Linked DNA regions of Drosophila melanogaster. The protein of the gene in region 1 interacts with the protein of each later gene in a pairwise test. Each region holds a gene or a part of one and is shown in the gene's direction. Other genes may lie near its edges.

The links.
Region 2: the proteins of CG4610 (region 1) and Tmx3 interact in a two-hybrid assay, tested with the Drosophila melanogaster proteins (one large-scale study listed by BioGRID).

The regions. Positions count from the first base shown.
Region 1 is NT_033778.4:22,490,122-22,494,892, forward strand, and holds CG4610 (uncharacterized protein), read left to right. Parts: upstream 1-2,075; 5' UTR 2,076-2,118; coding exon 2,119-4,104; 3' UTR 4,105-4,174; downstream 4,175-4,771. Other genes in the region: CG4554 (uncharacterized protein), read left to right, coding at 1-620, 677-1,309, 1,371-1,805.
Region 2 is NT_037436.4:16,227,243-16,231,767, forward strand, and holds Tmx3 (Thioredoxin-related transmembrane protein 3), read left to right. Parts: upstream 1-1,857; 5' UTR 1,858-2,058; coding exon 2,059-2,098; intron 2,099-2,162; coding exon 2,163-2,401; intron 2,402-2,458; coding exon 2,459-3,082; intron 3,083-3,139; coding exon 3,140-3,529; 3' UTR 3,530-3,897; downstream 3,898-4,525. Other genes in the region: l(3)72Dn (lethal (3) 72Dn), read right to left, coding at 1-1,178, 1,249-1,385; PDCD-5 (programmed cell death 5), read right to left, coding at 3,951-4,174, 4,232-4,346.

The DNA.
Region 1 (4,771 bases):
AGCGTTTGGGAGACCTATCTATTATCTCATCATCGGATTATGTGCGCGATGAATGTCGTGGCATTCTACTCACCTACATTATGGAGTATACACTGCGCCAGAAGGTTGAGCAGATTGTGAAGTTCATGTCGGTTCAGTTGTGCTACAGCCAAACCGCTGGCCGTCAGTCGGCTATTCAGTTTATGCACTCCATCATCAACAAGTTCCCACAGCTTATGCTAGTCAAACAGTCGGAGTTTTTATACCTTTCCCTGGGCACTCGACTGGTCAACGATGAGGATCCGTCATGCCGACGCAGTGTGGCCGCTGCTCTGGAAGCTCTGATCGGACGTCTCACCAAACTGGAACGGCAGCCCTTGCTGGATCTAACGCTACTGTTCTTCACCGCACCACAGTCCAGCCAGAAGCCAGGAGTCCGAGAAATGGCCGCTGCTCTTCTGTCACGATTTGTGGAGGCAGAGAAAGCTGGATTTGCGGAAAGGCTACCACTGGTTCTACCCACTCTGGTGAACGTTCTGACTTTGGGGCATGCGGAGGCTGGAGGTAGATTCGTGCGGGCTCCAGGATATCTCGCAGCAGAGGTGGATGAAAGTGAGCTTCACAAAAAGAATAAGCGAAAGGTAATAACATTTTCTAAATGTACATCACTCTTAAACTTATAAATTTAATTTTATAGAAATTCAAAACCTTGCCGGATGAAGATTTACTGCTAGCTGGTCTAGACAATGAATCGATTTTGGAGCAGCAGCAACGCAAAGCTGACCATCAGCTCATCCAACTGCAGTATTGCCTGCTGAAGATCTTCGAGCACTGCGGAGAGTCCTTACTCAACAATCCACAACTTTCTGATACTGTCGATGATTTGGCCTATGGCTCTCAGAGACTTCTGAATCACGACCACAACTGGGTGCGCTGCAATGCTGCCAAACTCCTGACACACATCGTCGCCCACTACGATTTCGCCTATATCGGTCAGCAGTTGTCAGGAATTAAACTAGAAGCAGGAGCCAAGAAGGCGCTGTACTTTATTTACGCACAGCCTGCAGAGGACATCAAATCATTGGTGCTAGATTTGTGTGCTCAGGTCACGCCGGGCGAAACTGCTCAGGAGATGATTGACGAGCTGTCGAAGATTTTGTTATTCGTTGGACATATGCTGAGAGACGTTCCGTTTAGTCTGAAACAGGAGAAAAACGATGATGAAGAGGAGCGAGAGCCGGTGAACAAAATAAGTCTCACCTGGCTGATTCGCAATATACGCTTCCTCATTAACAAGGAAGTCGCAAAGGCACCTCACGACATCAGCATAGTACGTATGACGACTTTTAAACTCAAGACAATTTCCTAATTTTAACATATTTCAATTTTAGAGAACGGCTATGTTTACGCTCATAGAGGCGCTGTCCACGCTACTCAGTGTGGAGTCCGTGACCCGACTGGCACCCTCTCTTCTCCAGGCGCTGGTTCGTGAAATGTCTGAGGAGGATCAGAACGTGGATGCGGAACTGCGCCAGCAAGCTCTCCGTGTAGGCAGTCGCCTGAGGAAGCGCATCGGAGCCGAAGTATACGACAAACTAAGAAATGCGGTGCAAACCAAGCTGATGGCCCGCCGTGCAGAGCGTCGCAAGGTTGTGGCTCAAGAAAAGATTCACGATCCTGAACGGGCGGCCAAGCGAAAGGCTGGCATGCAGGAGCGGAAGAAGGCGGCGAAGCGTCTAAAGGCGGCTGTTGTGCGTGGCAAAGCGCCGGACATAAAACAAAAGCTGAAAAAACGCAAACGAAAAGCTGAGATGGATGGATTTTAAATAGTTAGTCGGTCTGCTTTAGTATAAGTTTTTTTCTAAGTAGAATGGAAATAAAACAAACATTGTTACATAAGCAAAATGAAATAAATATATGACGATTTTGCAATATCTAAATAGATTATATTATGAAAAGCAATAATAAAATGAAAGACAGCTTATTACTTTTAATGCGGACCAAAATATTGTTTTTTAAAATTTGCCGCCAACTTTCAATTCATTGCACAGCCACCCTATCGATATATCGACTATCGATTACAACGCTAGAACATGTGTTGTGCAACTCCAGTTGTTGTTATTGTGGGGTGTTTTGAAAATGCAGCAGCTACGAAATGCCGTGGTGCACGGTTGGGCTAGAAGGATAAGGGCCCCATCGAGAAGTGCCCACAGTGCCGGTGCCGATATCTACGACGTGGTGGTCATCGGAGGCGGACATGCCGGAACAGAGGCCTCGGCGGCAGCTGCTCGCATGGGATCACGCACCCTGCTGCTAACCCACAAACTGGAGACTATTGGCGAGATGTCCTGCAACCCGTCGTTCGGTGGCATTGGCAAGGGTCACCTGATGCGCGAGGTGGATGCCCTGGATGGCGTATGTGCCCGCTGCTGCGATGTTTCCGGAGTACACTACAAGGTGCTCAATAGACGGCGCGGTCCAGCTGTTTGGGGGCCCAGGGCGCAGATCGATCGCCAGCTGTACAAAAAGGCTGTGCAGCAGGAACTGCACAGCACCCCCAATCTGGAGATTCGAGCAGCCGCTGTGGACAACCTGCTGATAGAGGATGAACAGGATACCCAAGCCCGCCGTTGTACCGGCGTCCTTTTGGCCAACGGAGAAGTGGTACGTAGTCGATCCGTGGTACTCACCACGGGAACATTCCTGCGGGCACACATAAACATCGGACTCGAGGTGCGACCGGCCGGCCGAATTGGAGACGCTCCAGCCAAAGCGCTGGGCGAGGCGATCGACAGATTAGGTTTTCGCATGGGGAGGCTGAAAACTGGAACTCCGCCTAGAATAGCAAAGGACAGTGTGGATTTCTCACAGCTCCAAAGGCACGAAGGTGATGATCCGCCTATGCCTTTCTCCTTTCTCAACAAAGACGTTTGGCTACCCGCCAAGGACCAACTACCCTGCTACCTTACCTACACCACACCAAAAGTCAGCGACATTGTGCGCGACAATCTTCATGTAAATCGCCATGTCACCGAGGAGATTACCGGCCCACGCTACTGCCCCTCGATTGAGTCCAAGATCCTGAGGTTCGGCGCGAAGGTACATCAGGTGTGGTTAGAGCCAGAAGGTCTGGACAGTTCCTTAGTGTATCCCCAAGGAATCTCCTGCACGCTGCCCCACGATCAGCAAGTAGAGCTGGTCCATGCCATCCAAGGTCTGGAAAAGGCGGTAGTTGTCCAGCCCGGTTATGGCGTGGAGTACGACTTCATAGACCCCCGTGAGTTGTATCCCACACTGGAGACGAAACGAGTGCCAGGACTCTTCTTTGCTGGCCAGATAAATGGAACTACGGGCTATGAAGAAGCAGCCGCTCAGGGCATCATAGCTGGTGCCAATGCAGCTGGAAAAACCAGGCATAGCGATGGAAGGCAACTAACCATAAGTCGAACTGAGGGCTACATAGGCGTGTTGATCGATGACCTGACTTCGTTAGGCACAAATGAACCCTACCGCATGTTTACAAGTCGGGCAGAGTTTCGGTTGTCACTTCGTCCGGACAATGCCGACATGCGTCTCACACAAAAGGGCTACGAATTTGGACTTGTATCTTCAGATCGCTACCAGCACTTCCAGCAAACCGAGGCGAGATTGCAATCGGCCATTGAGTCCTTGCGGCGATTGCGGAAGCACACTCATTACTGGCGACAAGCACTCAATCTGCCCAAGGCCAAAGCTTCGGTGGAGAAATCGGCTTTCGACATGCTGGGAATTCCAGCAGATAACATCACTATCGAGCAGCTAATCCATCTTCATCCCAACGAACTGAGCTGGCTTAAAGGCGAGCGAAATCTGGCCGAAAGGCTGAAAATAGAGGCACTGTATTCGTTCTTTGTCGATGAACAGCAACGAGATGTGGAGGATGTACGGCGTGAGGAGCGCCTGTCCATTCCCGCCGACATTGATTACTTCTCAAAGTCCCTAAGCTTGTCCAACGAGGAGCGACAGAAGCTGACGCTCATCCAGCCACAGACAATTGCGGCGGCTAGTAGAATTCAAGGAGTGACTCCATCGACAATTGTAAGGATTCTTAAATACGTTAAAAAAGCGGAGCTAGCAAAAGCCTAGGTTACGATTATGTAAAAATATATGTAATATTTGATCGCAGAGTCCCAAACCAAAAAAGAACTTGCAAAGTACATCCTTAAGTAGAGTTTATTTCATAAAATCATAAATGCCTTATGTAAAGTTGCACAATATTGTTTAAATGTTTGTTTCGCATATCGTTTGCCACATGGTTGAACATTCGTACATATCTATTCTGCTGCGCGATTGTGTTGATATATACCCAACTATATGGTGTGGTCGTGTGAAGATCCGAGAAAGGAGCGCCCGACTGTCGAGTTATTGATCTTAATCCGATGGGGTATATGTAGCTCAGGACTAACTCAGGATTCTGAATTCGGCTGTAAGATCAGTTTCCGGACAGACTGGAGCGTTCCTCTTTATGTCTATTGCTATTGTTTCGGTAGCTGTTGTATTTGGTTTTTGGTTTCGATTTTGTTTCCATTAGCTTACAGTTTAATGTTTTACACTTTGTATTCTGTTACACACACAACGAAGATTGAGGGGGAGTTACAATACAATTAATTTACGATCGAGTTGTTTTCTTTTGTTAAGGTTGTATTTGAAACTATTTTGCAGTAGTTAATTAGCTATCGCATGGCATTTGTGGTTACGTTACTAGATGCGCGCCAATCGATTTCAGTTATGTGTTTCATTCAAGAATCTATTA
Region 2 (4,525 bases), on another chromosome or scaffold:
GACGCTCCACCTGCAGGGGATCACTTTTCAAACGACTGATTCGGAGTTCCTTTAAGGTAGAGTAGCAAATCCAGTTTGCATCTGATGAAATGGCAGCAGACTGTATAAAGTTGTGCTCTTTGACATTTAGTTGGAGAAGTTTCTGGGGTGGCAGCTCCAGAAGTTGTTCCTCCGTGTGGCCGACGGGCAGTGCCCAGGGTTTCTTCTTGTCCTCGCCTTGCGGGGCCACAGAACCCAAGCGCCACAGGTGCACGCTGTTGGGATATCGCAAAAGCAAAAGCTTTTTACTGATTGCCATGGAAGCTACGGAACCTTTCAGAAAGGGAGCATGCTGCGACAAATGTGCCTGCATTCGTTCACTGGACGTAATGGTCAATATGCCATCCCTGCCTCCCGAATAAATTTGATCGTCGATAACCAACAGGGATTTCACATAGTGTTTGTGGGCATCGCGCTGTAGGAATTTAATCCAACGCTCGCTGGTGGACTCTTCCCGCTTTATCTTGGTTTTGCTGAAAATCCGGATGAGCGGCGGCTGCATTCCACTGCAAACTAATCGATCCTCCTTATTATTCACAGCCAGGGCAAATACGTTTTTATCCAGAACTCGTGTGGAATCTATCTGTGTCGCGTTATCCGCATCCCAAACGGTAACAAATCCCGCTGAATCACCGGCAATAATCGTATTATCGGATAGCACCTGCAGGGACCAAACTATTACGTTCTTTTCGGATAGGGTCATCGTGTGCAGAGTGGTTCCCTTGAGGACGTTCCAAATGCGAACAAATCCCTCAGTGCCGGTCACCAGTTTAGTTCCAGTCTTATCAAACTTGATGCAGAGAACGCGACCTTTTTGCTTGTTAAATAGGGATTTATAGGTGATTTCGTCATTCTCAATACTCAGGATGTTGATGTGCCCTTCCTCTGAGCCAATGGCAATATCCGTTTCCGCGGGATTCACATCGATACTCCAGAGAGCATTGCCAGTGGGCGAGTGCTCATATCGTTGTTTTAGCTTAATCACATCCCACTCGATCAGTTTACCACTTAAATCCACGGAAAATAAGCGGTTTCCCGCCCAGGCTATAGATTCCACATGAGAATCGGTGGGCAGGTGGATTACACGATCCAAATACGGGGCGTGCTCCAGGTTCCATAGCTCAATGACGGGTGTTGCACTGCAAAGAGTGTACTTATTAGTTTACTGCACAGTAATTATTAGGTTTTTTTTAATTTTCAATAATTTACCGACTCAGAGCGAGGCACTTGCTCGATTTACTATACGCCAAGCTGACAATTTCACGCGGCTTTATAGTGTAGAAGCGCACATTATGCACCTGATGCTTGCCCCTTTGCTGGGGTTCCTTCTTCGCATTATTCGTCATTTTATTTAGTTAATACAATTATTTAGTTAAGAAGAAATAAGGAACAACAACTGAAACAAAATTCCTCTGGAGATGCACGTGTGTGCCTAAGAGTTGCCAGATAGTCTATTTTGTGAGGTAAACAAAGCTGAAGAGTTGCCATCTGACTAAAAATATACCAGATTAACCCTTAGGCAGCCGCTCTATGGCCGCTCAAAAACTTATTTTCAAAATTAAAAATTCTTTTATAAATGTAATTATTAACTATGTCATTATTAAAGATAAATTCTTAGAGATGCATATAAAAAAATTTAATTAGTTTTTATTTCGAATTCATTTTAGTTTTAAGGTTATAGTAGAATGAAAATCTTGAGTTCAATAATCTTTTAAAAACATAATCCAAACAACTACAAAATTAATAAATAAACTTGTTCAATTTACGCATTGGACTAAAGAGTATCTCCTTAAGTATTTTGGATATTTTCCACATCTGGTCAGTCTAAAGGGGGTGGTTTTTGCAAATGTTTTCTTTTGTTGTTGCTGTGGTCCGAAGGAAAATAATTTGGAACTGAAAATTAAACCAATCAACTAATTAAATTAAGTAAAGAAGCTATTAAAATAACGGAAAGCATGATATAGCAAATAAGGGGCACGTAAATTACACTTGGAAGTACAAATTAAACCTGCTGCAAGGATGTCGCCAAATTCTATGTGGATTTTCGGCCTCATAAGTGGTAAATAAATTACGAACAATAGAAAAAATCCAAGCTGATGCTAAATGATTTACAAAACCAACAGCTCTGCTTCTGACTCTGGGTTCGACGGGGCTATCCTCGAAGGTTTTGGAGCTCAGTGACCGGTTCATCGATGTGCGACACGAGGGCCAATGGTTGGTCATGTTCTATGCCCCGTGGTGCGGCTACTGCAAGAAAACGGAGCCCATTTTTGCTCTGGTGGCTCAGGCTTTGCATGCCACCAACGTTCGAGTGGGTCGCCTAGATTGTACCAAGTATCCGGCGGCGGCGAAGGAGTTCAAGGTGAGAATATACCATATTTGGTCCAAGTTCCTTATAAGCATCCCCAAATTCTTACAGGTTCGTGGCTATCCCACCATTATGTTCATCAAGGGCAACATGGAGTTCACCTACAACGGAGACCGCGGTCGCGATGAGCTGGTGGATTATGCCTTAAGGATGTCTGGGCCTCCAGTTCAGCTGGTCACGCGAACGGAGAGTGTGGACATGCTAAAGGGATCCCATACGATATTTTTCATTTTCGTAGGCCAACAGGAGGGCGTGGTGTGGGATACATACTATGCTGCAGCTGAAGGTTACCAAGAGCATGGATTTTTCTATGCCACCAGCGAGGATATCGCTGCCCAACACTTTGACTTTGAGAAACTGCCAGCGGTGATTGTCTACAAAGAAGAGCAGCACCACTTCTATCCGCATGGGCATTTGGCGCACGAAATGGACCCCAATGAAGTGAACGAAACCGTTTTCCAATGGGTGAACGTGGAGAGGTTCACACTCTTCCCAAAGGTCACTCGGTTCAACATCCACCAGCTGCTCAAGACAAACAAGTACTTGGTTTTGGCTGTGGTACAGGAGGATAAGCTCAATCAGATAGCCACGCATGAGCTGGAGTTTCGGGACATGGTGGAGGGCGTGATAAGAAAGCATAGGGCGCGATATCATGACAAATTCCAATTTGGATGGGTAAGTGATTCTATCATAGTTTTATCGATTTGGAGCTAATCAATATTTCCATTTCAGATTGGCGAGCCATCAATAGCACATTCCATTATCTTGGATCAACTGCCCACGCCTCACTTGATAGCGATTAATTCGAGCACCCAACACCACTTCATACCCGAAGATGATCCAATGCAAATGACTCCACAGGCACTGCACCTTTTCCTAGAATCCATCCGCAACGAAAGTGCCATTGCCTATGGAGGAGATACGTACTTTGTACGTTTGAATCGGGCACTGTTCGAAGTGCGAAGAGCATTAAGGGATATGTGGCTGGGAAATCCCGTGCTGACCACTGTCATCTTCGGCCTGCCATTGGGATTCTTATCGCTCATCATGTACTCTATTTTCTGCGGCGATTGCTTGGTCACAGAAGAAGATCCCGATGAAGATCACGAGAAGAAGGAGTAAAGGGATAACTTAAAAATGAATCTAGTGAAAGCTTTTGATTGCGAGTGAATGTTAGAGAAAGTAAATAAGATGATCTCATAGTGCATTTCCGAGCAAGATCATAAAAAGCTAGGAACATACAAGAATATGAAATGATAAATCCCTATAAGAAGTCGTAGAAGACCCCACCCCTCCTCTAGACCACTTTTCTACCGCATATAAATGTAAGCCAAATCTAGTCCTATGTCAGTGTATGTCATTGCCGCTTGGCACGAACTTCCAATACGCTTTAAGATTCGCCATCTGACACAAAGAAGTCCATACGTATTTGGGCATCTAGTTTTGTTTCTCGTTTTAAGTTAGTAAAAGTAATAAACATGATTTAGCGGATGTGAGGAGCGGGCATAACTTAAATTAGATGTTGGGCGGAATTTCGGACGAATCAGCAGCCGTAATCCTCGTCGTCGTCGCTATCGATGGCCGCCCGCCGCCGATCGTATTTCACGGAGGACTTGCTCTGCGGCATCTGAGCATTGACGCTTTCGAGGATGCTGACGAACTGGGCGTCATCAAGTTTTCCACGCACCTGACCCATCTGGGCCATGCGGATGACCATGTTCTCGAACATTTGCGCCTTCTCCGGCTTGCTGACTTTGAGGGTATTAACTAAATGATATTTTATAAGTTATTAGCTAGAGATATTCAAGGTCTAGATCCACATACGTCGTGCCCTGGCCTGCTGGTCCAGAACTTGGGATAATATCGAGTGCTTCATTTCCTCCTGGGCGCGCATCTGCTCCTGCTGGGCTTGTTGCTTTTCCGCATCATTGCCGCCGCCCTAAAAATAGGAAAAAAGGAGTTAAGGTCATTGAAGGATTGCCCTTTAAAGAAACAGGTGTCCCAGTCGAGAAGGATGACTCATAGGGAAGGTGTCTATAAGAACTAACAAAGCATACCATTGCTAATGTATTCTTAACATTTTTATTATATTTTATATAGTCTAATTTGCTTTCATTC